Linked DNA regions of Oryzias latipes. The protein of the gene in region 1 binds, or shares a complex with, the protein of each later gene. Links are inferred from orthologs where the notes say so. Each region holds a gene or a part of one and is shown on either strand. Other genes may lie near its edges. The genes, in order: cinp and spata5l1.

Evidence for each region.
Region 2: cinp (region 1) and spata5l1 share a complex: the UniProt entries of both Homo sapiens proteins name them as parts of the 55LCC heterohexameric ATPase complex. The link is inferred for Oryzias latipes from reciprocal best matches to the Homo sapiens genes CINP and AFG2B.

What each region holds. Positions count from the first base shown.
Region 1 is NC_019880.2:156,458-169,261, reverse strand, and holds cinp (cyclin-dependent kinase 2-interacting protein), read left to right. Parts: upstream 1-5,141; 5' UTR 5,142-5,325; coding exon 5,326-5,359; intron 5,360-5,914; coding exon 5,915-6,065; intron 6,066-7,463; coding exon 7,464-7,593; intron 7,594-8,143; coding exon 8,144-8,273; intron 8,274-8,410; coding exon 8,411-8,613; 3' UTR 8,614-8,669; downstream 8,670-12,804. Other genes in the region: znf839 (zinc finger protein 839), read right to left, coding at 11,751-12,309, 12,391-12,499, 12,571-12,658. UniProt on the Homo sapiens protein: Component of the DNA replication complex, which interacts with two kinases, CDK2 and CDC7, thereby providing a functional and physical link between CDK2 and CDC7 during firing of the origins of replication.
Region 2 is NC_019861.2:12,885,772-12,898,575, forward strand, and holds the start of spata5l1 (spermatogenesis-associated protein 5-like protein 1), read left to right. Parts: upstream 1-5,587; 5' UTR 5,588-5,919; coding exon 5,920-6,525; intron 6,526-6,590; coding exon 6,591-6,776; intron 6,777-8,427; coding exon 8,428-8,712; intron 8,713-8,794; coding exon 8,795-8,980; intron 8,981-10,549; coding exon 10,550-10,708; intron 10,709-10,784; coding exon 10,785-10,994; intron 10,995-11,086; coding exon 11,087-11,314; intron 11,315-11,398; coding exon 11,399-11,533; intron 11,534-11,629; coding exon 11,630-11,755; intron 11,756-12,804. Other genes in the region: NAD(P) transhydrogenase, mitochondrial, read right to left, coding at 324-515, 617-750, 2,371-2,558, 2,662-2,750, 2,837-2,924, 3,014-3,213, 3,289-3,518, 4,164-4,293. UniProt on the Homo sapiens protein: ATP-dependent chaperone part of the 55LCC heterohexameric ATPase complex which is chromatin-associated and promotes replisome proteostasis to maintain replication fork progression and genome stability.

The DNA.
Region 1 (12,804 bases):
CGGTGGGCTACATCACTCTGTACTACAGAGGAGCGGTGGGCTACATCACTCTGTACTACAGAGGAGCGGTGGGCTACATCACTCTGTACTACAGAGGAGCGGTGGACTACATCACTCTGTACTACAGAGGAGCGGTGGGCTACATCACTCTGTACTACAGAGGAGCGGTGGGCTACATCACTCTGTACTACAGAGGAGCGGTGGGCTACATCACTCTGTACTACAGAGGAGCGGTGGGCTACATCACTCTGTACTACAGAGGAGCGGTGGGCTACATCACTCTGTACTACAGAGGAGCGGTGGGCTACATCACTCTGTACTACAGAGGAGCGGTGGGCTACATCACTCTGTACTACAGAGGAGCGGTGGGCTACATCACTCTGTACTACAGAGGAGCGGTGGGCTACATCACTCTGTACTACAGAGGAGCGGTGGGCTACATCACTCTGTACTACAGAGGAGCGGTGGGCTACATCACTCTGTACTACAGAGGAGCGGTGGACTACATCACTCTGTACTACAGAGGAGCGGTGGGCTACATCACTCTGTACTACAGAGGAGCGGTGGACTACATCACTCTGTACTACAGAGGAGCGGTGGGCTACATCACTCTGTACTACAGAGGAGCGGTGGGCTACATCACTCTGTACTACAGAGGAGCGGTGGGCTACATCACTCTGTACTACAGAGGAGCGGTGGGCTACATCACTCTGTACTACAGAGGAGCGGTGGGCTACATCACTCTGTACTACAGAGGAGCGGTGGACTACATCACTCTGTACTACAGAGGAGCGGTGGGCTACATCACTCTGTACTACAGAGGAGCGGTGGGCTACATCACTCTGTACTACAGAGGAGCGGTGGGCTACATCACTCTGTACTACAGAGGAGCGGTGGGCTACATCACTCTGTACTACAGAGGAGCGGTGGGCTACATCACTCTGTACTACAGAGGAGCGGTGGGCTACATCACTCTGTACTACAGAGGAGCGGTGGGCTACATCACTCTGTACTACAGAGGAGCGGTGGGCTACATCACTCTGTACTACAGAGGAGCGGTGGGCTACATCACTCTGTACTACAGAGGAGCGGTGGGCTACATCACTCTGTACTACAGAGGAGCGGTGGGCTACATCACTCTGTACTACAGAGGAGCGGTGGGCTACATCACTCTGTACTACAGAGGAGCGGTGGACTACATCACTCTGTACTACAGAGGAGCGGTGGGCTACATCACTCTGTACTACAGAGGAGCGGTGGACTACATCACTCTGTACTACAGAGGAGCGGTGGACTACATCACTCTGTACTACAGAGGAGCGGTGGGCTACATCACTCTGTACTACAGAGGAGCGGTGGGCTACATCACTCTGTACTACAGAGGAGCGGTGGGCTACATCACTCTGTACTACAGAGGAGCGGTGGGCTACATCACTCTGTACTACAGAGGAGCGGTGGGCTACATCACTCTGTACTACAGAGGAGCGGTGGGCTACATCACTCTGTACTACAGAGGAGCGGTGGGCTACATCACTCTGTAATACAGAGGAGCGGTGGGCTACATCACTCTGTACTACAGAGGAGCGGTGGGCTACATCACTCTGTACTACAGAGGAGCGGTGGGCTACATCACTCTGTACTACAGAGGAGCGGTGGGCTACATCACTCTGTACTACAGAGGAGCGGTGGGCTACATCACTCTGTACTACAGAGGAGCGGTGGGCTACATCACTCTGTACTACAGAGGAGCGGTGGGCTACATCCACGGAATCAGGGTTCGTGTGGACTGAGCTGGTTCAATAAAACAATTCAAAACTTTTCAACCAGTTTCTTGTTATTGCCTTTTTACAGGCTAGTATCATCACCTTGAACAGGTATTTGTCTTCTGGTCGTATGACGTCCATCGATAGGCCAAAGTACAATATCTGTGGGTCCATAACTATCTCACATCCAAGGATATCCTGAAAAGTTTTGACCATAATTTTCCAGAAAGGAGAAATATTTCCACATGACCAGAAGATGTGTGAATGGTTAACGTTGAAGTCCCCACATAGCCTCCAGCATTGTTGTGAGGTTCCCAGCTGTTTACTCTTTATGTGAGGACTAATAAAAAACCTTGTCAAGTTTTTCCATCCAAATTCTCTCCATTTTCTAGAACATGTGGAGCTATGCTGTAGTCCACAGATTGAATGCCATTTATCTTCTGACAGTGAAATTTGTCATTCTGATTCCCACTTTTGTTTTATATACAGAGAGTTATATCCATTACAGTTTAACAAGCATCTGTACAGTTTGGAAACAACCTTTGAGTGAGGCTTCTTATAAGACCCCATCAGCATTTCTATTAACTTGCTTCCGTCTTGACGAAGATATTTTTTAATCTCCGTATTGTAGAAGTGCCTTAATTGGAAATACCTGAATAGGTCAGCCGTATCCAGCTGAAACTCCTCTTTGAGCCTTTCAAAGGACTTGAACAATTTTCCGTCTGTTGACATGCACACTGCCGTCATTCCTCTGTCACTCCATTTGTCCGTCTGTCCCGTTCTATATTTTTGAGATTGTGAGGGCCAGATAAGTAGTTTGTAATCTCCACCTATGTTGTATTTATTGACCATGCTCCACCAGATCTTTAATGTCTCTTCAATAATAGGGTTTTGTGCTATGATTTCTATTTGTATTTTCTCCCCCAGTCTTGCTTGTGGTGGACATTCTTCAAAAAGTTCTGCATATTTCTGTAGACTGGAAAAAAGAAATCAAGAGCGAAACACTGTAAAAACTTTGTTAATGAACGATGTGGAGTGACAGATCCTACAATAATTACAAAAGAAATGTTTCAGTTCTACAGTGAGTTATACTCGTCCTCATACGCCCTCCATGATGCTGAAGCCTTTTTAAAACAAATCAAACATTTGGTCCCTAAAGTAGATGATGGCTGCAGAGAGCTTTGTGAGGCAGAGATCACCATGTCAGAGGTAGAAGATGCTATAAGATGCTTAACTTTAGACAAATCTCCAGGTTCAGATGGGCTGACTGCTAATTTTTATAGACATTTCTGGGAACATGTGAAAGAGCTGCTTTACCTGACACTGAAGGAAATAACTAACACACACTCTCTACCAACATCTATGAAGCAAGGCATCAGAACTCTCATTCCTAAATCTGGCAAAGATCCTCTTCTGATTGATAATCTGAGACCGATTACCCTGCTTAATCTTCTTCCACTTTCGGCTTCTCCCATCAGGGGTCGCCACAGCGAACAAGTCGCATGGTAAACTTGGCAATGTTTTATGCCGGATGCCCTTCCTGACGCAACCTTCTCAAACCGGGCTTGGAACCGGCAGAGGTAGAGAAGGGAACAGGGAGCAGCTCGGAGTCGAACCCTGGTTTCACGGACGGAAGGCGCCGCAAACCAGCACGGGCTAAACCGGCTCCCACCCTGCTTAATAACGACTATAAAATCTTAACCCACATATTTGCCAATAGAATGAAAGCTGGGATGTCGGCCTTCCTGTTTTCTTCTGTTTCCGTTTCTTGTTTTATCTGTGTTGAGATAGTCAGAGTATAATTGCAACTACGGATTTTTTGAATTTTTAAATAAATACTTTTTTGAGAAGCTTTTATTATCTCAGCCATTGTTTTGGTGGCTCCACTCTGCACTGGCGGTCCTTTGGTCGCATACAACACGCCGTCCGGGGTGGGTACCGGATGTTCTCGGGTTACCGGATGTTCTCGGGGTCCTTCGGGGTCCTTCGACCAATGATGACGTCGCACTATTTGATTGGCTGTAAGTTGCCACGACCAATGAATTAACGTCGCTAAGTTTTTTTAAAAACTTTATTGACAATTGCGGTATCATACATTAACAATGACATTAACGTTAACAACGAACAATAACAATGTAATGAATATTGCTTCGAAGATCAGTCACCATTGCCAAACATAATATATTAACATAGAAAATAAAGAATAGAGGGGAAAAAAGAAACAATGAACATAACACACAAATAAATAAAAACATAAGTAAAATAAAATAAAGGAACATAGAAAAAATCTAAATAGTCTAATACTAGTTAAGTTAGGGGTACTCGTGAAGTTTGTATTTCTGAACAAAACTAAGCAATTTCAAGCCATTCTTCTTTTTCATATAATGAAGTGATTGAAAGTAAAAACAGAGCTCTTTATTAAATGTTATAAAAAGTGGTTTGGTCTTCAAAACTTGACCTCACCAAGATGGCGGTGCTCTCCTCCTATGAGGAACCACGTGATGTCTCCTCTAGTGATATAACTCATTGGAAGGACCCTGAAGGACCCCGAGAACATCCGGCAACCCGAGAACATCCGGTACCCACACCGGAAGGGGGCGCTGTGGACCGTGCTAACCATAGAAGAAGAACGTAACCCTTCCGGGGGGGGGGGGGTCCAGATGATCGATATGGAAGGTGAGTGGAATCAGATCCAGCTTAGAGGACCAAACACGGAAGGACTGGCGTCTGCACGAGTCCTTTCTGGAAACGGTGGGAACATCCGGTCACGTGACTCGTCAACCCCAACTATGCAGAATTTGAGCGAGTAGTATCGTGAAAAAAGAACACTTCGTTCGTGAACGACAGGAACGGAAGAAAAGCGGCGGGGTTCCGGGGAGCAGAAGGGAGGGGGGGGGCTTTTCAACAGTCCAGAGGTGGATGGGGGGGGGGGGGGGGCAGCGGGTGGAAGAGGGTTTCAGGTGTGACCAAAGGTCAGGTGTAGCAGACTGGTGAGAGCCGCCAGAGAGAGGAGGAGGAGGAGGAGATGAAGATGCTGAGGTTCTCTCTGGAACCAGGATCATAGATGTTCTGGAGATGAAAGCAGGGATGATGATGATGATGATGATGAAAGGCTGGAGAGGCTGGAGACACCAGGAAAGAGGAGGTTCATGGATGAAGGAGGACATGAGGGAGGAGGCTGAGTCACTGCAGCGCCCCCTATAGGGAGCAGCAGATTAGTTTGACCTCCAGACTGTAAAGGTGGAGCTCATGTTCTGCTTTAGTCTTCATCTTTCATTCATGTTTGTTCCCTTTTGGGGTCATGGGGCTGCTGGAGCCTATCCTGGCCACTCGTGGGTGAAAGTGGGAGGCAACCTGGACAGGTGGGCAGTCCGTCGCAGGGCCACAATCACACACTCATGCACACTCACACCTAGGGACACTTTAGAGTCACCATGAAGCATTAGTCTGCCTCTCCTCCCTCATTAGATTGATCCAAACACCACCTTCACCTCTCCACCACATTCTTTCTACTGTATCCCACCCCCTTCAAGCTCCGCCTTCTTCAACTTTGCAGCACGATATGTCCCATGATGCTTCACTGTGGGAACCTGCTGGTGAGGCATGAAGTGGATCTTCACTGAAGGTCACCTTGTTAGTCGTTCCTGGTCGTCTTTTCATGATGTCGTTTTCTAACACGTAGTTTCTGCAGAGCGGCCGGATTTCATTAGAAATTCACCTCCGTGTTTTGGGGGGAACTTTTGGGGCAGAGTAAGCCTGCCCCCATTTCCCATCAGGCATCTGTTCACACTCTCTCCCACTAGCTTACAGTCCCTCAAACCCTGATATTAGTGGTGGAACAGAAATCTATCCAGGCGTACAGTTTAGATCCAGAAAACAAAGATGTTTATCTGCAGGTGGATTATCAGAAGGGGGCGGAGCCTCTGCCCGCCGTAGTGGCTTCCACATCACACTGACAAGCTTTTTGAATGACAATGATATGAATACAGAAATCCTCAGAAATGCAGTTTGAATCTTAAATTTCTTTAGAAATGTCCTCCATCATCAGAGAAAAGCCACAAGAACACGTTAAAACACCAAAAACAGCATTTTCCACGGAGCCACGCTTTGTAAGTCTGCAGGGTTCTCATGCCAGGGTGTTTGTTTGACAGGGAGATCATCAAACAGGAAGTGCCATGCAGTCACAGGAAGTGCACGAAAGGTCAGAGATAATGCTGCCGACTGGCACAACTTGATGCTGAGGTGGGACAAACTGAGCGAGGACGGCTTTGACGTCGCAACCAACATCGTCAACATCAAGAGGTGATTGTGTTTCTAGACCGTACGCCGTCACAGGAAGTACTGGTCCCTCCAAGATGACATCACTTCCTCTTTGTGCCAACATTGTAGCCATTGAGCAACTTTATTTAGATTTTCTTCCGTAATTCGTATGTTTGTTGTTCCAAGATGGTAAACTTTGTAATTCATTGTTAAATTATCAAAATAAATGTTAACATTTCCCGACAGCTCAGCCTCCTTTACGACACTCCCTCCCCCCCTCTCCTGGTCGGGCTGGGGAGGATCTGGTTCCCCTTATGAACACACGGTTCACTTTGGCAGCGTGCATGTATCTCCACCCCCACCTGCACGTGCACACTGCTCCCTGTCTGCCCCCCCCCCCCAACCCACAGTGTCTTGATGGACAGATGTCTTCAGATTTTCACCTTGGATGTAACATTTGTCTTTCCAGCAGATCTGGTAGAATTGTTACAGCTTAATATAATAACTTATTCAAATCAGTGCTTTTATCCCCCACTTTTTCACCTCTATTCCCTTTACTCCCCCCCCCCCCACACACACACTAAATGTAACTAATAAATAAAAAATAATAAAGTAGCAAAAAGGGGTTTATTCAAATCTACACTCTGGTTTCTGGAGTTCTATAACCTCTTTGTAGTAAATCCTGTCCAACAAAAAGGCCTTCAGCTCTGATCTGTTTGCTACGACGGAGTTTTAGGGCCACCAAAAAAAAAGTTAAATTACGACATTTTATCTCGTACATTTACGAGAAAAAAACTCGTAATTTTATTATTTATTTTTTTTGGTGGCCCTAATACTCCGTCATAGTTTGCTCAGCTGTTGGACAGAATAAGTTAAAAAAAAACAGCAGAGAAGTCCCCCCCCCCCCGATTACAGCGCCCAAAACTAAAAGACCGTCGCTGTAATGCAGCAGTGTACATGCATGTATGTATATACATGTATGTACACTGTATGTACATGTATTTACTCTTTACATACATGTATGTTGTTTTTTTCACAGACAATGAAAATATCAATGATGTTACTCAGAACTGATCTTTTTAATTATTTTTTTTAATTATTCAACATTGAATCACAAAGTTTACACCTCGGAAGAACAAACATACGAATTACAGAAGCATATCTAAATAATGTTGCTCAATGGCTACAATGTTGGCGCAAACAGGAAGTGACACAACGTTCCCACATGCGGGCACCAATCGGCGAGCCGTTCCAGATCAGGTAGCTACATATGACATCACAGGAAGTCCATGTCTGCGCGCCTTCAGCTCACTTCCTGTCCGTCTGCAGAGCGTTCTGCCCGACTACACCTGTTTGACCTGCAGGTGTCTCCTGCCACTCAGCGTGCACTAATGTCCTGCCCGTCACTCAGAAGGTTCTGACCCGTCCTGTGCTCCTCAGGTCTCAACATGAGCAGCTGCTGGTTCCTGAAGCTTCATCATCGTCTTCCTCCTCAGCGACCCTGCAGCCCTCAGGAGCTGCAGAGCTGCAGGCTCAGTGCCTCAAACTGCTGGACATCGTGGAGAAAATGGTGAGTTCCTTCAGACCTGAAGGCACTGAATAAAAGAGGAGGAATGCATCGGAACCAGAACTGGACCTGCTGTGACCGACCAGAACATACAGACCCAAAGCCACACCTCTGGCTCCTCCCTGCTGCTCCAAATTTAGGAGCATTTGGAGCCATAGTGGTGTCCGAGAGTGTTCGTTTAGGGGGAGACGTAGCGACCCTCCGCCAGTAGGGCGTTCGGCGGCGTGCTGTACCATGGAGAGGCTTTTCTTCACGTGGGCGTGGTCTGACGCTCAGAAATGTCATTTAACGATTTTATAAAGTTATCAAAGCGACATCATGTTTTCCGAATGCTGGCAGCTACACGCTGACGGCGACTATTCGTGACGTCGTCTAACTGTAGCAACGTCCAGATTTGACGACTCTATTTTCCAGAACTCTCCGCCTGCAGGGCTAAATGGAGGGAGAAGCCCGAGGCAAAGAATCAGGATTCTTTGTTCCTGTCGTCTGACACCCCTCCCTCAGTTCTGGACTGGGAATCTAACGTGCGTCTTTGATGTCCTCTTTTGCTCAGACTGCCATAGTGGCCAGGATGGAGCGCCTGGCGGCATCGCAGCAAGCGCTTCGGGAGCTGGAGGAGCTACGTTCTGGTTCTGCCGGAGGAGCGGCTCCCCTGTTCCACAGCTGGACCACCAAACAGTTTGGCAAGTCTGCCTGATGATGTCGGCACGCTCAGCGGTGTAGCTCAGCTTCCAGTGCGATGTGCGACTGAAGCCGAGGTCCATCCATGGAGTGGCAGCTCTTTGGTTTCCATGGTAACACGGCTCCTCTGTTGTTTCAGAGGATGCATCGCGGCTCATGCTCGCCGCGTTCTCGGAGGAGCTGAAGCTGAGGCGGGTCATCTCGCAGGAGCTGGCCCACGCCGCCACCTCTGACCTCTCGATGGTCTACCTGTCCTGCTGGCTCCACCAGCCCTGCATCCCCGCCCAGAGCAGAATCACCCTAGAGGCTCTGCTGCTGGAAACCGGACACCGCCCACTGTGACCCGCGGGTCGGACCTTCTGCTTCCATCTGTAAACATTAAAATGAAATGAACCTGATCCACTGTAGTGACGCTTCCAGAACCAGGCCCAACCTGACCTGCTCTCTCCAGAACTTCATGACGTACAGTTCAGACCAAAGGTGTGGACACATCTTCTCATTTAAAGAGTTTTCTTTATTTTCATGACTATGAAAATTATAGATTCACACTGAAGGCATTAAAACTATGAATGAACACGTGGAATTATATACACAACAAAAAAGTGTGAAACAACTGAGAATATGTCACATTGTAGGTTCTTCATAGTAGCCACCTTTAGCTTTGATTACACACTCTTGTCCTTCTCTGGATGAGCTTCTAGACGTAGTCACCTGAAATGTTTTCACTTCACAGGTGTGTCTGTCAGGTGTAACCCTTGTGCTATCCTATGCCCCCCCCCCCCTTACAGTGAGGTGTTCTCCCTACCATGACAAAGGTGGATAAAGGTGGAAAGATTTCATGTAATCCATGGACACCAGTGAAGATCACAAATCATTGAAGAAAAAAGGTTCAGAGCACTGTCTGGTGGGTCTAGATGACCCACTCCCAATGGTGAAGTGGCTAGGATAGCACAAGGGTTACTAAGTGGGATTTCTGGCCTTATAAATGGGGTTGGGACCATCAGTTGTGTTGTGCAGAAGTCAGGTGGATCCACAGCTGATAGTCCTACTGGATAGACTGTTAGAATTTGGATTATGGACAAAAAAAAGCTGCTAAGTACAGAAAAACAAGTGACCATCATTACCTTAAGAAATGAAGGTCAGTCAGTCCCAAAACTTGGGAAAACTTTGAAAGTGTCCCCAAGTGAGTCCCAAAAACCGTCAAGCGCTCCAAAGAAACTGGCTCACATGCAGACCCCCCCCAGGAAAGGAAGACCAAGAGTCTCCTCTGCTGCAGAGGATGAGTTCATCCGAGTCAGCAGCCTCAGAAATGGCAGCTTAACAGCAGCTCAGATTAGAGAGCAGGTCAATGGCACACAGAGTTCTAGCAGCAGACACATCTCTACAACTGTTCAAAGGAGACTGTGTCAATCAGGCCTTCATGATAGAATATCTGCTAGGAAACCACTGCTAAAGAAAGGCAACAAGCAGAAGAGACTTGTTTGGACTAAAGAACACCAGGAATGGACATCAGACCATGGAAATCTGGGCTTTGGTCTGATGAGTCCAAATGGGAGATTTTTGGTTCCAACCACCGTGTCTTTGTGGGATGCAGAAAAGGTGAACGGATGGACTCTACACGCCTGGTTCCCACCGTGAAGCATGGAAGAGGTGGTGTGATGGTGTGGGGGGGGGCTTTGCTGGTGACACTGTTGGGGATTTATTCCAAATTGAAGACAGACTGAACCAGCATGGCTACCACAGCATCTTGCATCATAGTCATGCTATTCCATCCAGTTTGGGTTTAGTTGGACCATCATTTCCTTTTCAACAGGACAATGACCCCAAACACACCTCCAGGCTGTGGAAGGGCTGTTTGACCAAGAAGGAGAGTGATGGGGGGCTGCACCAGATGACCTGGCCTCCACAGTCACCGCAGAGTGAAGGCAAAAGGGCCAACAAGTGCTAAGCATTCTGGGAACTCCTTTAAGACTGTTGGAAGACCGTTTCAGGTGACTACAGAACTCTTAGAGAAGAATTAACTTATCTAAATCTACAACTACATATATGAAGTCCAGCAGACGAGCTTCATCCAGCCGTGGTTGGGGGGGAGTCGGGGGGGGGGGGGGGGGGGAGTCGAGCCGGAGACAGGAACCACAGCCAGGTGTAGGAGCAGGAGGGGAAAGAAGGAAAGAGGGACAGTCCATGAATCACTGCAGCAAACACAGACATGGAGAACTATTCCATAAAACAGGGGCTTGGTGGCTAAACGCTCTACCTCCAACCGTACTTTGACTAATTCTAGGAACCACAAGCAGTCCTGCATTTAGTGAGTGAAGTGTTCTGATTGGATGGTAAGGGACTATGAGGTCCTTAATATAGGACGGGGCCATTCCATGTAAGGCCTTCTAGGTTAACAGGAGGATCTTGAACTTGATTCTAGAATCAACTGGGATCCAGTGAAGTGAAACTAACACAGGAGTGATGTGATCTCTTCTGCTGGTTCCTGCTAACAATCTAGCTGCTGCGTTCTGAACAAGCTGGAGACTTCTTAAGGAACTCTTAGGACACGCTGCTAACAAGGAGTTACAGTAATCCAGCCTCGACGGAACAAATGCATGGATGAGTTTTTCAGCATCACTCTTAGAAAGTAGATTTCTGATCTTAGCAATATTCCACAGGTGTTAATTCATAGTTTTGATGCCTTCATAGTCATGAAAATAAAGAAAACTCTTTGAATGAGAAGGTGTGTCCAGACTTTTGGTCTGTTCTGTAGATTGTTCTGGAAAGCCGTCTTCGGTGGGGTTCCGGCTGATCAGGAGCCAGCGTGAAGACTGGAACCGGGTTCTGGGAAAAGCCCGGTGATGCATCATTACACAGAGTCAAGTGTGACGCCACTTTATTGGAGGAACAGGGATGCATGCAGCACGGAACCATTGACGCGACACAGACCGTCCTCCATGCTGCGTTCAGCTCAGCGGTCCAATCGTCTGGTTCCGCTCAGGATTTTATCAAAAGTAGTAAAATAGTGCAACTCTTTTAAACTTCATTCTACACATGTATCTACATATACACATTCAAACACCAGCGTCTACGTTAAAGTCCAAACATGGAAACACTGAAGACGGGGCCGAGTCCACTTCCTCTAAAAAAACAGCAGGGGGCACTGCTGAGCACCAGGTTCCCGCCGCCAGCAGGAACCCTTGTGGTCACTGATTGTCGGTCTGCAAATCAGAACGCGTCCGACAGCTGATGGTGACGCGGAGCTGCAGCTCGGAAACCGAGAGAACCCAAAAGAAACTAGCTGCACAGAACTGGGCCCAGCAGGAAGGACCCCTCTCGCCCCCTGCAGGCGGACGAGCGCCTTTCGGATTGGACCGACCGATCCAAGTGAAGTTCACGTTCTCCTTCCACCTGCTCCCATCCTTCTGGACACTTTAAAAGCCTCTTTAATACATGGTTCTGACCTGGTTCTGCTCCTACTCAGCTCTCACCGAGGTTCAGTGAGGAGCTTTGGCTCCATCTGATGCTTCGATGCCGAGCAGAGCTTGGACCGCCTCCAGAGGAATACCTTCTGGGGTCTGGATGTGCATGGTGGTTCCATCAGGTCCATTTACAATGACGATCCCGTCTGAGCCCGGCTCTGCCAGCTGGACCGTCAGCCCCTCAGTCTGGATGTAGATCTCCTGACCCTCCTGCAGTTCTTTGGACTCGCATGTTCCACACTCGGTCTGGGGGGGGGACTCAGTCAAGTTTACCTTATGGATTAAAACGGGCTCAGATGTCTGAGCGGATCCGGGCTCCGTGGTCTGAGCGGATCCGGGCTCCGTGGTCTGAGCGGATCCGGGCTCCGTGGTCTGAGCGGATCCGGGCGTAGAGGTCTTGGTGTTTGTGCTGGGGTCAGAGGATGTACCCAGCATGGTCTCCAACTCAGTTATCTGGGCTGAGATTTCAGGGGTGGTCAGAACCGGGTCTGCACCTTCAGACCCGTCAGCTGGAACCGTCTCCACACGGATGGCAGGAGGTGGCAGCTGGCTGGAGGCCTCTGAACTGGAGGAGCTGCAAAACCATCAGAAACACAGACCATAACACCGATCCGGCTGTAACACACCTGTCCCTGAGAAGGCGGAGTCAGCCTACCTGGAGGACAAGAGTCTGGATCCAGCTGGGAGCACCAGAGGTGAAACGGACACGGAGCAGGTCTTTAGGGGGCAGCTCAGCGGCGGGAAAGAGGTTGTACTGGTACAGCCTTGGAGGGAAAGGGGGGACATTTAAAGCTAGAACAGGTGATGTGGCCCTTGCACAGGTGAGTGCCGGTACCTGTCTGAGTCCTGTCAGTGCCGTTTTGCTGAACTGGAATGCTGTTTTCCATCTTGAACCTCTTTGAAGGTGGTAGCATCTTGGAGTTCTAAAGAATAAAACACCGAGTCAGGTCTGACGACAGTACCGCTGTCAGCCGCAGGAGAACCTTTAAAAACCTCTTTAACCTTCAGTGTCTGGATGGCCTTCAGGTTCCCCTGGTTCTACCATGCTCTAGAACCTTGCTCTGGTTTT
Region 2 (12,804 bases), on another chromosome or scaffold:
CAGCAGATCCGACTGAACAAACAGCAATCGTTAACCATTTAGCAATGTTTCAGACAAATGAAAAACTGGAGAGAAACTGATATGTCCTGCTGAGGTTGCATGCCTTCGCTGCCATAAACAATATGTCAGAACCATAACTCCTTGAAAATTCTAATTTGAACTGATCAAGATGTTCTTGCAGGAACTGCTGCCAGCTGGAATTGTTTTTTTAGTACTCATTAGGCTCAGGATCTCGGTTTGACAGAGCCTGATGGATCACCTTAAGGAGGAATGGATGCCAGCACTGAGACAAGCAGCCCGTTAGACCCTCACAGAAAACCAACCTGCATGACAAGAGTGCCACGAATGACGTGCCCAATGGTTCCATAGTCAAAGTTATCTGTGGTCTCATAGTGAAAGAACTCCTTGTCTGGGCTGATGGCCTTCAACAGCTTCAGGATGTTGTTTGAATACAGGGTGCTGGCCTGAGTAGCCATGCGGCTGGGAAGGTCTGTGTAACCAATGTGCGTTACTCCCTGTTCATTCAAAAAGATCAAAATAAAAAAAACATGTAATTGTCTTTATTAGGAGTGATACAACAAACAGAGATATTGCCAAAGTGTTGCAGAGGACTCACCCTGTAAACATACAGCTCGCCGGGCTTCGTGGTCTCGATGTTGCCCCCAGCTTCAGCAGCCAGATCCACCACGACTGAGCCATCCCTCATCGAATCCACAAAGTCCTTCTTAATCAGAATAGGAGCCCTCTTTCCTGCAAGGAGTCAAATGCATTAAAAGAATTGTGCTTGTATTTAAAAACAATTTCATTGAAAGACTTTTTTTTTTGCAAACAGTTCAACAACATTCATTTAACTTCTGCTCAAAACGAAACTAAATATTTCAGATGCAAGTATTGATTACATCCCCAACCACGTCAACTATGAATCGGTTATAATTTTGTGAAATTTTGGAGATAAAAAAAATGTACTCCTAAAAATATGTAACAGATAATAAAATCACATGATTGCTCTCATCCTCTGGAGTTACAGGATTCTTATGAAACACTAACGTTTAAAAAGCGCTTCAGATGAGTTTCCAAACTGTCACAAGAGTCCATGTGAAAAAAGAAAATGAAATTAAACCTGGCTCCATAAAATCATATACACATTTTATAGGCTCTTATTTACAGTGTGAGCCCTGGAGAAGGAGTTTGAACTTCTCTCCTAAGAGTAAATGGTTGTTTGTCTAACTTGACGCTGTCTATCTCTGCGGCAATGTGGGATCTTTCTATAGAAGTATAGAAAAGTTATCTGAAAATTTTGTGTGAGAATAGAAAGTTAACTTACTATGTGGTAATTACTTTACTTTTTATTTATACATTTTCGCCAACAGGCTAAAGCCCATCAATAGGTAAATTCACACACTAAAATCACAAATGTCCCTAATTCTTCATATAAATATACCAAATAATAAAGAGGTGCATTATTTCAAATAATAAACAAAAGCTCCAACAATGTAATTATTTTAAGTTAAATGTCTTAGAACTGGAATTTTATTTTTTTAATTTGCATTATTTTTAGATTTTCTTCAGTTAAAGACCCACTCCAATAAAAAATGGGTTTTTGGTGTTTTTAACATGTTCTTGTGTCATTTTTCTCATGTTGGAGGACTTATATAAAAGAAAATAAAGCTTAAAACTGTATTTCTGAGTATGTCTTTATTCAGATGGATGGGAATTAGGAGCAGACTAAGAATTGTAGTTTGAAAAAGCTTGCAGCTGAGACGTGGAAGCCGCAAGCTCTCTGCTCGGCTCCATTCTGAAACATGAGTTTGCAGACTAACGGCTCTGTTTTCGTCGTCTGAGCTGACATCTGGCTAGCTCCAATATTGCTCGCCATATTTGTTGCACCGATAATGTTAGGTTAAGGGTGTGGGGGGGCTGTAAGCTAGTGGGAGAGAATATATACAGATGGATGATGGGAAATGGGGACAGGCTCACTTCACAGCAACAGTCCTGCCTACAACTCTAACGAACCCCTCCTGCTCTGCAGAAACTATAGAAAATGACAGGTTTTATTTTGGCGAAAAACAGCGTAATCATTAGAAAAGAACCACTAGGAACAATTTAAAAATAGATGAAAAGATGGTCAGAGTGGGACTTTGAGCGTTTCCAGTTAACTAAGTTCTGGTAAAAAAAAAAAGGCAAAGTGAAAACTCTTGCAGTTTTGGCATCAATGGTAAAATATTATAATATGAAAGAAAAACAGAACATTCATCACTTTAATAAATCAAGTTTGTATGTTTTACTTGGTTTGGAAAACCACCGCTGTGATGAAGTTTGAAACATTTAATCTTAAAGACAAAAGAGCCAGAACATTTCAGTGCGACTGACCTGGAATCAGGGCAGTGCTGATCAGAATGTCGACTTCCTTACACTGCTTTGCGAAAAGGGCCATCTCAGCCTCAATAAACTCTTTCGACATCTCTTTGGCGTAACCTCCAACCCCCTCGCCAGACTCTTTGATCTCCACTTCCAAAGGCTCTGCCCCAAAGGACTTGAACTGCTCCAGAGCTGCTGGCCTGACAGCCAAGAAACAGTCCGCTTTTCGTCAAATAACCAAATACATCAACACCGAGTCTGTAGTCTCAAATGAAATGTGTTTTTTTCTCTTTCATCTCATACCTGGTGTCAAACCCCCTGACGATGGCTCCCATTGACTTGGCGGCCCCCGCCGCTGCTAAACCAGCCACTCCGCCTCCAATAACCAAGACCTGTGGGAAAACAAAAACATCTCCGGACACAGTCCACACCAAGCTTTTGATTTGTAAATGAAAGTATTTACGCAGCTGCCAGGTACCTTAGCAGGTGGTACTTTTCCAGCCGCTGTGATCTGTCCGGTAAAGAACCGGCCAAAGTGGTTGGCAGCCAAAACAACAGCCTTGTACCTGCAAAATTTAAAGCCCAGCTCTCATTTTCCCACATTCCTGAAAAGCTTCACGGGCATGAATCTGTGAGGATCTGGATGCTTTGTTACCCAGCGATGTTAGCCATGGAGCTGAGAGCGTCATAGCCCTGAGCGATGGTCACTCTGGGCACCTGGTCCATGGCCAACACATTGCTCTGCCTCTCTGAGAGCTTCGCCATCAGCTCTGGGTTCTGGGCTGGATAGATGAAGCTCACCAATGTGGACTTGGGCTTCAGCAGATCGGCTTCGCTCAAACTAGGGGCTCGAACCTGAAGACAGAACAAAGTCATCGTAAACGCAAGAGACGTGAACAAAGGGAATAACGGATAAATGACAGCTACAACCTTCAGGACCAAATCGGATCCCAGAGCTCCCTTAACGTCGGTAATAGTGGCCCCTGCATCTTTGTACTGCTGATCAGAGAACTTGGATTCATCTCCAGCTCCACTCTCAACCTGAACCTTGAAGCCCTGTTTGACCAGCGCCTGAACCCCAGCAGGAGACAACGCCACACGCCGTTCACTATGCGCCGTCTCCTTGGGAACTCCAACCACCAGGTCCTTGTAGGGCACACCTAAAGACACAAACAATCTGAGAAGTAATTCTGCACCTTTACCAAAGCAAACCCTTTCAGACTGAACACAAATCAGATGTTATAGGAAACATTTGTTTGGTTTTTAGGCCACATTACATGCATGCTGGGACAGCGTGGCCTGGAGCGGCGTCAGGTTGCACATTTCTCTCCGTAAATGGCATGGCGACCTCTCCGTCACAGTGACATAATTAGCAGGTGATTGGCGCTCGGCCACCATGCACACACGCTGAGAGCCGGGTCTGAAAACTGAAACTTTAAAGCTTTTTGTGTCTCGTAAAATTCTCACAAGACACTCTGCAACAAGTGCTCTGGTTTTCAATGAGCAAACATCTGCCAGCAGACTCAGCCAGGCAGCAATTTAAGTTTGACATGTCACCTCAAAGTGACCTCTCACTCGCTCTAACATGTTGGTAGCACCTACAGGTCAGCCTGGGAAGCTGCTCCACAACAGCAGCCCTATTTTGGGAAACATCTTAAGCAACAGCAGGCAAACTAACATGGATGTTTCCACTTTTCGCTGGGGGAAAAGGGTTGTATTCAAGTAAACTGTTTAGGTATAGATCCTTGACCAGAAATGCAGCAAAGTTCAAATGACAGATGTCCTAAGAGTGCAACATGTCCTACCTCTAGGAGCTTTTTGGTCCCATAATGCTGGGAAAACCCTGAAATGCCTCCTTCCAAGCGTCTGCTGATGGGCTCTTCTATGGGACAGAGCTAGACAGGAGCTGGAGATGGACCGCAGGAGGGTCGACATGTTCACCGAGCGTCCGCCCCGGGGGACTCCTGCTGCCTCTCTACTGTGAACACCAACAAGCAGAGATAGACGACACTTAAGCACAGCGTCTGCATTTGCCCTCAAACAACAAAGGACATTGTAAGCTCCTCAGTGAGTCTTAAATCCCAAATGTCCTGGTAGCGCGCTCGGGCCGTCTACAGACAGGAGAGTGACACTTCTCTGCAGGACACGCTCCCACAGGCCCTGGGTTGATTACACTCCTGCCTGCAGTTATGACGGAAGGAAAGTGTGCCAAGTTTGGCCTGAAGGTGTGAGCATAGATTAAAGGAAAGAGCTCTCAGATGCAGGACAGAGGATAACTTGTGGCCTAAAAAATATATTTGTGCAACAAAAGTGGATAAAAAGTTATTTACTCATTCAGAGACTTTAATAGTCTATTGCTTTGATTAACTTTAATAGTCTAATTCCCATGAATCCCTTTTTATATTAAAAAAAAATTGGCTAATGTCATTATTATCAGACTTGCCTTTGAAATTTTCAAAAAGGTGTAGTTTAAAAATTCAACCCTTCATGGGCATCAGGGTCACCTGTGAGACGTCCTACCCGAAAACCCCCGCGTGCCCTCGCGCAGACGCAGACGGACTGCCGACCTTCCGCAGTTCCCATATCTTTTGATATAAATAGAACCCACGTGACTTTTATTATTTAAAAAAAACGCAGCTATAGTTAAGTGTCGTGCTAATGACCAGCCTGTCTGGAGTAACAAAGAAACACTTTTTATACTTTTTTTAAATGTTCCGAAGAGAATTTCTAAGAAGGAAGGTTTTTTTTTCTCTCTCCTTTTTTTCCCCAACAGGTTGTAGTTTCTTTTATGAGCACAGGATGGCGTCATGGGGCCGCTAGCATACAAAATGTTGAACAATTATGACCCCTTTCTTAAAATGTTAAATTTTTTGCAATATATGTCCTTAAATACTTTGGAGGGGGGATATGTAATTTAATTTAAAAATTTTCAACACAGGAAAACATTTCTTATAGATCCCCTAAATTATATCTAAAGGTTCCAACTCCTTATACTACATTAAAAAAAATACTAGTACATTCTAATTAGAAAATATCTTCAATACACAAACATTTTAATGTGCACAGAAGATACTTTCTGTATATGCGTGCATGTGTTTGTTAAAAGGAGTAATTTCTATAGGTCTATATAAGTACATTTTAAATAAAATATCGGTACTTAACTTCAGCTTAAATACTAGAAAGTACAGTATTTCGGAATTCGGTAAGTTACTTACAATGACTAGAAGTTGTGCTTTAATCGTATTTCCTCTCACGCAGGAAGCGGTTTTGGTTGGCCATCTTGATTTTTCCGGGACCATGTGGATTTGTAAACATTAGCCACTCATCTGCAGCTAACGCCGCTTCCATGCTTGTTTTTAACAGATATTGATTGGTATCAGGCGTTTTCTGGTGTAGTATTATATTACAGTTCTATGTTTTTTTATATGTCGTTTTTTTTTTTAAATTTTGTACATCTAGCTTGCCGCGCGCCCTTTCGCTAGTCTTAACCCTGCATGCAGCTGCTGTGTGTTACTTATTCCGTTCTGAGTGAGTGACAGAGTATCACTGGCAGATTACCTGATGGACTCTCATGATCCTCTGATGTTGCTGGCCGTGGATCCCTCGGACCGAGGCTCGCAGAGGTGCAGGCTGGGTCCGGGGTTGATGTCGGCGCTGGGTCTGAGTTTGGGCTCCCCGCTGTTGGTGCATGTTCCCGGGGGGAGCTGCCTGTGCACCGCATGGCCCCGCTCCGACTTGGCAGAAGGATTTCTGCAGATGGACCGCAAATGTTTCACTCCTGGTTTGATGATCTTTCCTCTTCCTCCGCGCTTGAACATCGAAGCAGCTCAGCTCACACCTCTGCCCTGCCCCAAACTTCGAGGCGTTAAAGTGACCGTGGTTGTTCAGACTGTGGGGTTTAAGAAGCACACCAACCTTCACATCGTTCACGAGCTTGTAAAGGACATGCTGAAGGGAGTCACTGTCCACAAAGACTTCGTGATAAGCCTGGAACATTTCGATATAGACATCAAATATGCTGTAGTAGACGGCATAAATCCAGATTCTGCAACCGCAGGAATGATCACCCCAAAGACCAGTGTGGAGATCTCCAACATCCAGACTGTCAGGCATTTCAGGAGTCAGCTGCAGGACCAGCAGACCATCCCACTGGGAGGATTGGAAGAGGTCAGACACTCACTGAGGATTTAACCTCCATCTTTGCATTACGTTTATTCGTACCTCTTCTGTAGGTGACTGCATCCCTGAAGGAGATGCTGCAGCTGCCACTGCTCTATCCAAGAATCCTGAGCTCAGTTGGGGTGACCTGTCCCAGAGGCATGCTGCTGGTGGGGCCTCCTGGGGTGGGCAAGACTCAGTTAGTGCAGAAGGTTGCAGGAGAAGTGGGAGCCAGTCTGGTTCCGGTCAGAGGCCCAGAGGTACCAGTACAACTCCTTAATGTCTCATTGCTTTCATGTTTTGGGAAAGTCAAAAACTGAATCTCATTTAGCTTCAAACGCCAACCCTAGATTGATGATCAGATCTATAAATGCATGATTGTTACTCATTGGGCTAGTTGACAACTCAATTCAATATCAATTTGAGCATGATTGATCACAGAGCCAATTATTTGTCATATTTTTGTTCCCAAGCCAATTTTGTGTGGTTATGAAAAACTGTTTTCGTTAATTAGTGGTTTAAAGACCTGATTTCATAAAGATGGTGATGCATCAGAATGGAGTGGAGCAAGGAGCTTGTAGACTGCAGATTGTAGCTTCTACACCGCTACAAGCGTTTTCAAACAGTGCAATTTGATTAAAACATACTCAGAAATGCAATTTTAAGCTCAATTGTCTTTGTATATGTGAAAAATGCCATAAGAACATGTTAAAAACACAATTTTCATTAGTAGGTCTTTAAAAATTGTGTTTAAAGTGTAAAGGCCAAACCACGTTACAACCATCTAACTAGCTTACAAATGAACTTAAAGATTCTGTCTTTCTTAAAAGAAGTTTTAATTCTACTTTCCTGGCACAAGGAAATATGTGATAATATCACAATATCAATAGCTTAACCAGTGTCTAAAGTTTTATGGTTGTTTGTTTCATATAGGAACATCAAACAACAGATATGGGTTCACACGCATTGAAACTGAGGAGATAATTATCTCTCTGATTAGTAAGCAGCAATAATGGGTCATAAATGAAAGAAATATTATCTTTGTGGACAAAGTTGATGCCAAAAAAGAAGAGGCATTATGTTAAGGAAGGTCAGTTCCAAATGGGCTGATGCAAAGTGGGACATTTTCCTTTGGTCCCAGAAATCCTTCAGCAGGATGTGGCTGTTTGGCATCTGCAACGTTTCTGGAGAAAGAAGTTTGTTTGTTTAAGTGCTGCCAGTTCATTCTGATGCTGCTACCCTGGAGAAATATGGTTTAGCAAGAAACCAGAAAATGCATTAGACCCTGCAGTTAAGCAACCAGAATTCTGTGTAGATGAAGAATAGCAGAACATTTCACAAGTCCAAAACTTTCAGAATTTTGCAACATCTGGTCTCCTCTGTGTGGTTTGATTAAATTGCAGACAGTCCTTTTATTTCAACATTTGGAGAAAAAAAAGTATTTTTTGTGTTATGTTGTCCTAAATTAAACCGTTTTTGCATCGTTATATTCATATTTTATTTACTTTTTACACAAGATGTGATGTTTTGGAAAGAACATTGGTGGTCTCTTAGACTGCCAAGAATTCAAGCAGAAAATAAATCATCCAAGGACGTCAAATGATACACTAACATTTTCTGTTTGTTTTGTAAATACTTTGTGGTTGTTTGATGTAACAAAATCTTCCTTAAAATAATGTACATTACAGAGAAAATAAATCTCTTTCTGCTTTACAATTAAAATAAATCTTAACTAATCAAATTTTTTTGATTAGTTTTGATTTCTAGAATAGTGATGTTAATATTCACTGTTGCTTCATGATCAATATCATAGCTTCTCCTTTTATTTTGAAATGTTTATGATTAAGAAAATATCTTATTCTGAAGAAAACACCCTCATAAACAGATGGGTATTTGGAATGGTCTTGTCAGTTGGTGGGTTCCCGACCCGGCGAGAGCGAGGCGGCGCTGAGAGCCGTGTTTGAGCGTGCTCGCTCCGCAGCAGAGGACGGCCCCTGCGTTCTGTTTCTGGATGAGCTGGACTCACTGTTTCCCAGGAGAACTGCCTCGTCGGCGCCGGAGAACCGGCTGGTGGCTCAGCTTCTCACCCTCATGGACGGAATAGATCAGTCTGACCGCTTCCTGGTCGTTGGAGCCACAAACAGACCAGACAGTTTAGACCCAGCGCTGCGCCGGCCCGGAAGGTTTGACAAAGAGGTAGGGGTTTCCGTTTATCTGCTTATGCAAGTTCATGTCATTCTGCCCGTGGATTCATCTGATTTCTTTTGTTTTATATAAGGTCGTCATCGGTGTTCCCACCTTGACTCAGAGGTTGGCCATCCTAAAGGTTTTGTTTGAGAAGATTCCTGTGTGCCCCACTGTGAACCTGGCTGAGCTCGCACAAAGAACGACTGGATACGTCGGAGCCGACCTGAACGCGCTGTGCAGGGAGGCAATCATGCACGCTGTGAGAGAAAACGCAAAGGTAAACACAGACAAACACACCAGCTCCCCATCAAACCCCGCAGAATGCACAAAACCCTTTTAGGTCGAGGTTTTTCACCGAATTAAAATGCTGAGTTATAGAAATGGTAAAAGAGTTGCCATCTGTGGATTAATCCAAACAAAATATAAAAAAATTAAGTCTTTTTGCATCAAATGACATTACACAAACAGCAGCCCAACCGATTGTATCACGAATCAGCAGTTAACAGTCTCTGCTAACATAAATGAACTGTCACTGTTTATCATTGGAAGATCTCAGAAAGGGTTAAATTAGGGCTAGAGGATATGAGGAAACTCGCAATTTGCGCTATAAGTGATCAATATTGCAATGACGATAATTTGCAATACATAGACAAGTAGTAAAAAACAAAACAAAAGCCTAATTTCTATTTTGCTGCAACAATTTAATTTAAATAAGAGTCAACATAACTTGTACTCCAAATGACTCATCTAAAGGAGGCGAACCCCTAACAACAGAGGGCTCCATCTGATTGGTCAACAATCTGTAGAAGCCCATCCAATGGATTTATTTGATTTGTTAAATAATTCAAGCTGCCATAAGATTTTTTAGATAACATTTAAGGTAACTATTTATCGCTATTGTCGCCGTCTTATGCAATATGGCGATAACGATGAATTTCCGATTTATTGTGCAAGCCTAGTTTAAACCTTTCAGTTAGCCTAGTCAAAAATAATCTGTGAAAGACATGGCCACACTTCTGCCTCTGAAATAATCTGGATTACTGGAATGTGGCCATGTCTTGGCTATTGCATAAAAAGCCCAAATCATTATGTTTCCACTTCTGTGCAATTTACAGTGATGGCTTTTTTTTAAAATCTTAAATAATTTGGTGTGTGGTGGTTTAATTTTCAGATTATTCTGTTTTGCAATAAAATTCTTAAGTCTGATCACATTTGGAAATTTAATAGACAGGAGACACGGCAGGGAGGAGATTGATTAACACGGTGGACTGTTAAAGAAAAAAAATGTGCAAAATAGCACAGAAAAATATGGGCCAAAGATACAAAAGAGGAACCATGGTTTTGCGAGGGAACACTGTATACTGATCCCTCATTGTCGAATGGACAGAAAATTGACCTTTGACCTGCTCAGTGGTGAGGGAGGAAGTTTCCAGGAAGGATTATTATTATTATTAGTCAATCCAGTTGACATGAGCTGCAGGTTAAAGACGCTTTCTGGATTAAATGGTACACCTTCGAACCTGAGATTATTAGTGGATTGAACAGTGAATTGTGTTTACCAGCAGCCGTTGTCCTAACGTTGGCCTGAAAAGCCATCCGGTGGCTCCAACAGCAGTATGGTGTTGTTGCCTGAAGGCTGTGAAGATCCGCTCAGTATTGATCTATAACCCAATTAGCTGCAAAATGTTTCTCCAAAGTCTTCACAGCCATTTGAATTCTGTTCAACGAAAAAAAAAATACCGTTCCATTTTAAAAAGTCATTCGGGGCATTCAGCATTAGTACAAGTGTTAGTTTTGTTAGTAATTTTTGGCTGTGCCTCCTTTTTTCTGTCTTGTTGTCTGTCAGGGTTCAGCAGAGCAGAAGGTGGTCATGCGGCACTTCGAGGAGGCCCTGAAGGTCGTGAGTCCTTCCTGCCTGCGCAGCAGTCTAGGCAGGACAGATCTCCCTCGGGTGCTTTGGGAGCACATAGGAGGCCTGGATGAAGTCAAACTCAAACTAAAACAGGTAAATAAAAGTGTGGCATTGTCAAAATGATGTAGCTAATGAATGTATATGATTATCCTTTTATCTTGTGCACCAGAGTATTGAGTGGCCAATGAAACACCCTGAGGCGTTTGTTCGTCTGGGTCTGTCACGGCCCCGGGGTGTGTTGCTATTCGGACCCCCGGGGTGTGCAAAGACCACCCTGGTTAAAGCTGCAGCCACCTCATCCAGCTGTGCTTTCCTGTCGGTCAGCAGTGCTGACCTCTACTCTTCTTACGTCGGCGACTCAGAGGCGGCCTTAGCTCAGGTCAGGCTCTAAAGGTTTGATATAGTCTGCGACAGATTTGATTCCTTCCTGCGGTTGGGTCCATGCGTGTGCTTCTGTCTGTGCATCTGCAGCTGTTTCGCCAGGCCCGCGCCTGTGCTCCCAGCATCCTGTTCCTCGACGAGATCGACTCTCTGATTGGCTCCCGGTCCACCAACGAGACACAGAACAGCGAGCAGACGCGTCTCCTGTCCGTGCTGCTGAATGAGATGGACGGGATCGGTGTAAAAACAACCGAGAGGAGGGGGGCAGAGAAGACTCTGCAGGCAGAGGGAATGACCAAGAGTGGAGCACAGGAAGAGGTCCGGCGAGGAAGAACCGTGTCTGAAAGCCTTCAAAGCTCCGAATGAGTCCTCATCTCATCAGCTGTGTTTTCTCTGTTACAGTTGGAGTGGGAGGAAGTGTGCAACAAAGACGTGATGGTTGTAGCTGCGACCAACAGACCAGACTGCTTAGACAGCGCCCTCCTCAGACCAGGAAGAATGGACCATATTATTTATGTGCCGCCGCCCGATCAACAGGTACATTTCGTATCTGAAAGCAGAAAACAAACAAAAAAGTGTTGAATCCCACATTTTTATTTCCAGTTTCTCCAACTACCTGTGTTGTGTTTCAAGGCACGGTTGTCCATTTTGAGGGTGTGCACAAAGCGGATGCCCATCTGTGCAGATGTGAGTCTGGAGGAGCTGGCGGATAAGACTGAGCTTTACTCTGGAGCAGACCTGGAAAATCTGTGTAAAGAGGTAAAACTGTCCCAGGCAACTAATGTCTGTCAACAAATATACATTTCTATGTTGGAGTTTGAAGGGAAAAGTAATCTAAGCCTTTAAAGATCCACTGCGATCATCTTTTGATGTATTGTAAAACCGTTCCCAGTTTTTTTAAATTATAATGATGCAGTTTTTAGCTAAAATTTAAAAAAATCTGTGTTGTTTTCTAGGACATAGTTTCTGCAGAGAAACAAAAGTTTATTAGAAATTTGCCTCTGAATCGCTGGTGAGACTGTTGGTGCCCCCTTCCCATCACCCATAACTGAGAGCTCTCTGTTTACATGCTTTCCTGCTAACTTACAGCCCCTCACAACTCCAAACTGACTTAACCGTTGCAACAAAATTGGCGATCTATAATGAAGGTATCCAGCCGTAAAGTTTTAAAACTGATGCCGGCTCAGATGAGGGCAACGGAGACGTGCGTGCACCTGGATGTTTCCAGGCAGATGCATCAGCATGGAGCGCAGCAGGGAGCTTGTAGCACATTGTCTACTAAACAAATATGACCTTTTTTATTAAAACAGCATTTTATTTGACTTTTTTGAAAAAAATTAAGAAATACTCACAAATGCAATTTTCAAGAAGAACATGTTAAAAACACTCAAAAAAAGACTTTGATCAGACTGGGTCTTTAGTTCCCCCTTTTGCTCTATCCCACGACAACAGAAAAAAACACTTATCCAGGCTTTTTCAGCAATGAATAAACTATCGTAATTATTGAAGGCTGCCTTCTCATCAGTGTCAGAACATCTCCCCATACACAGCTGTTTCATCCACTTCCTTTTAGTTTTTATTTTGCTTAATACGATTTAATTCTTAAACCATAAAGCAAATAAAATGTCTAAGTTTAAAATAAGTAATGTATTTAGTCTATTTATTAAATGCAAAGTCTTGATATGGGTGAAGCATACTGAGAATACGACAGCCGGGACAACAGCCATCACCTGCATTTAGAACGTTTTTGGTCTTGCTACTTAATTTTGAAAATATCTTACATTGTAACTCTATGTTCCTCAGTTCTA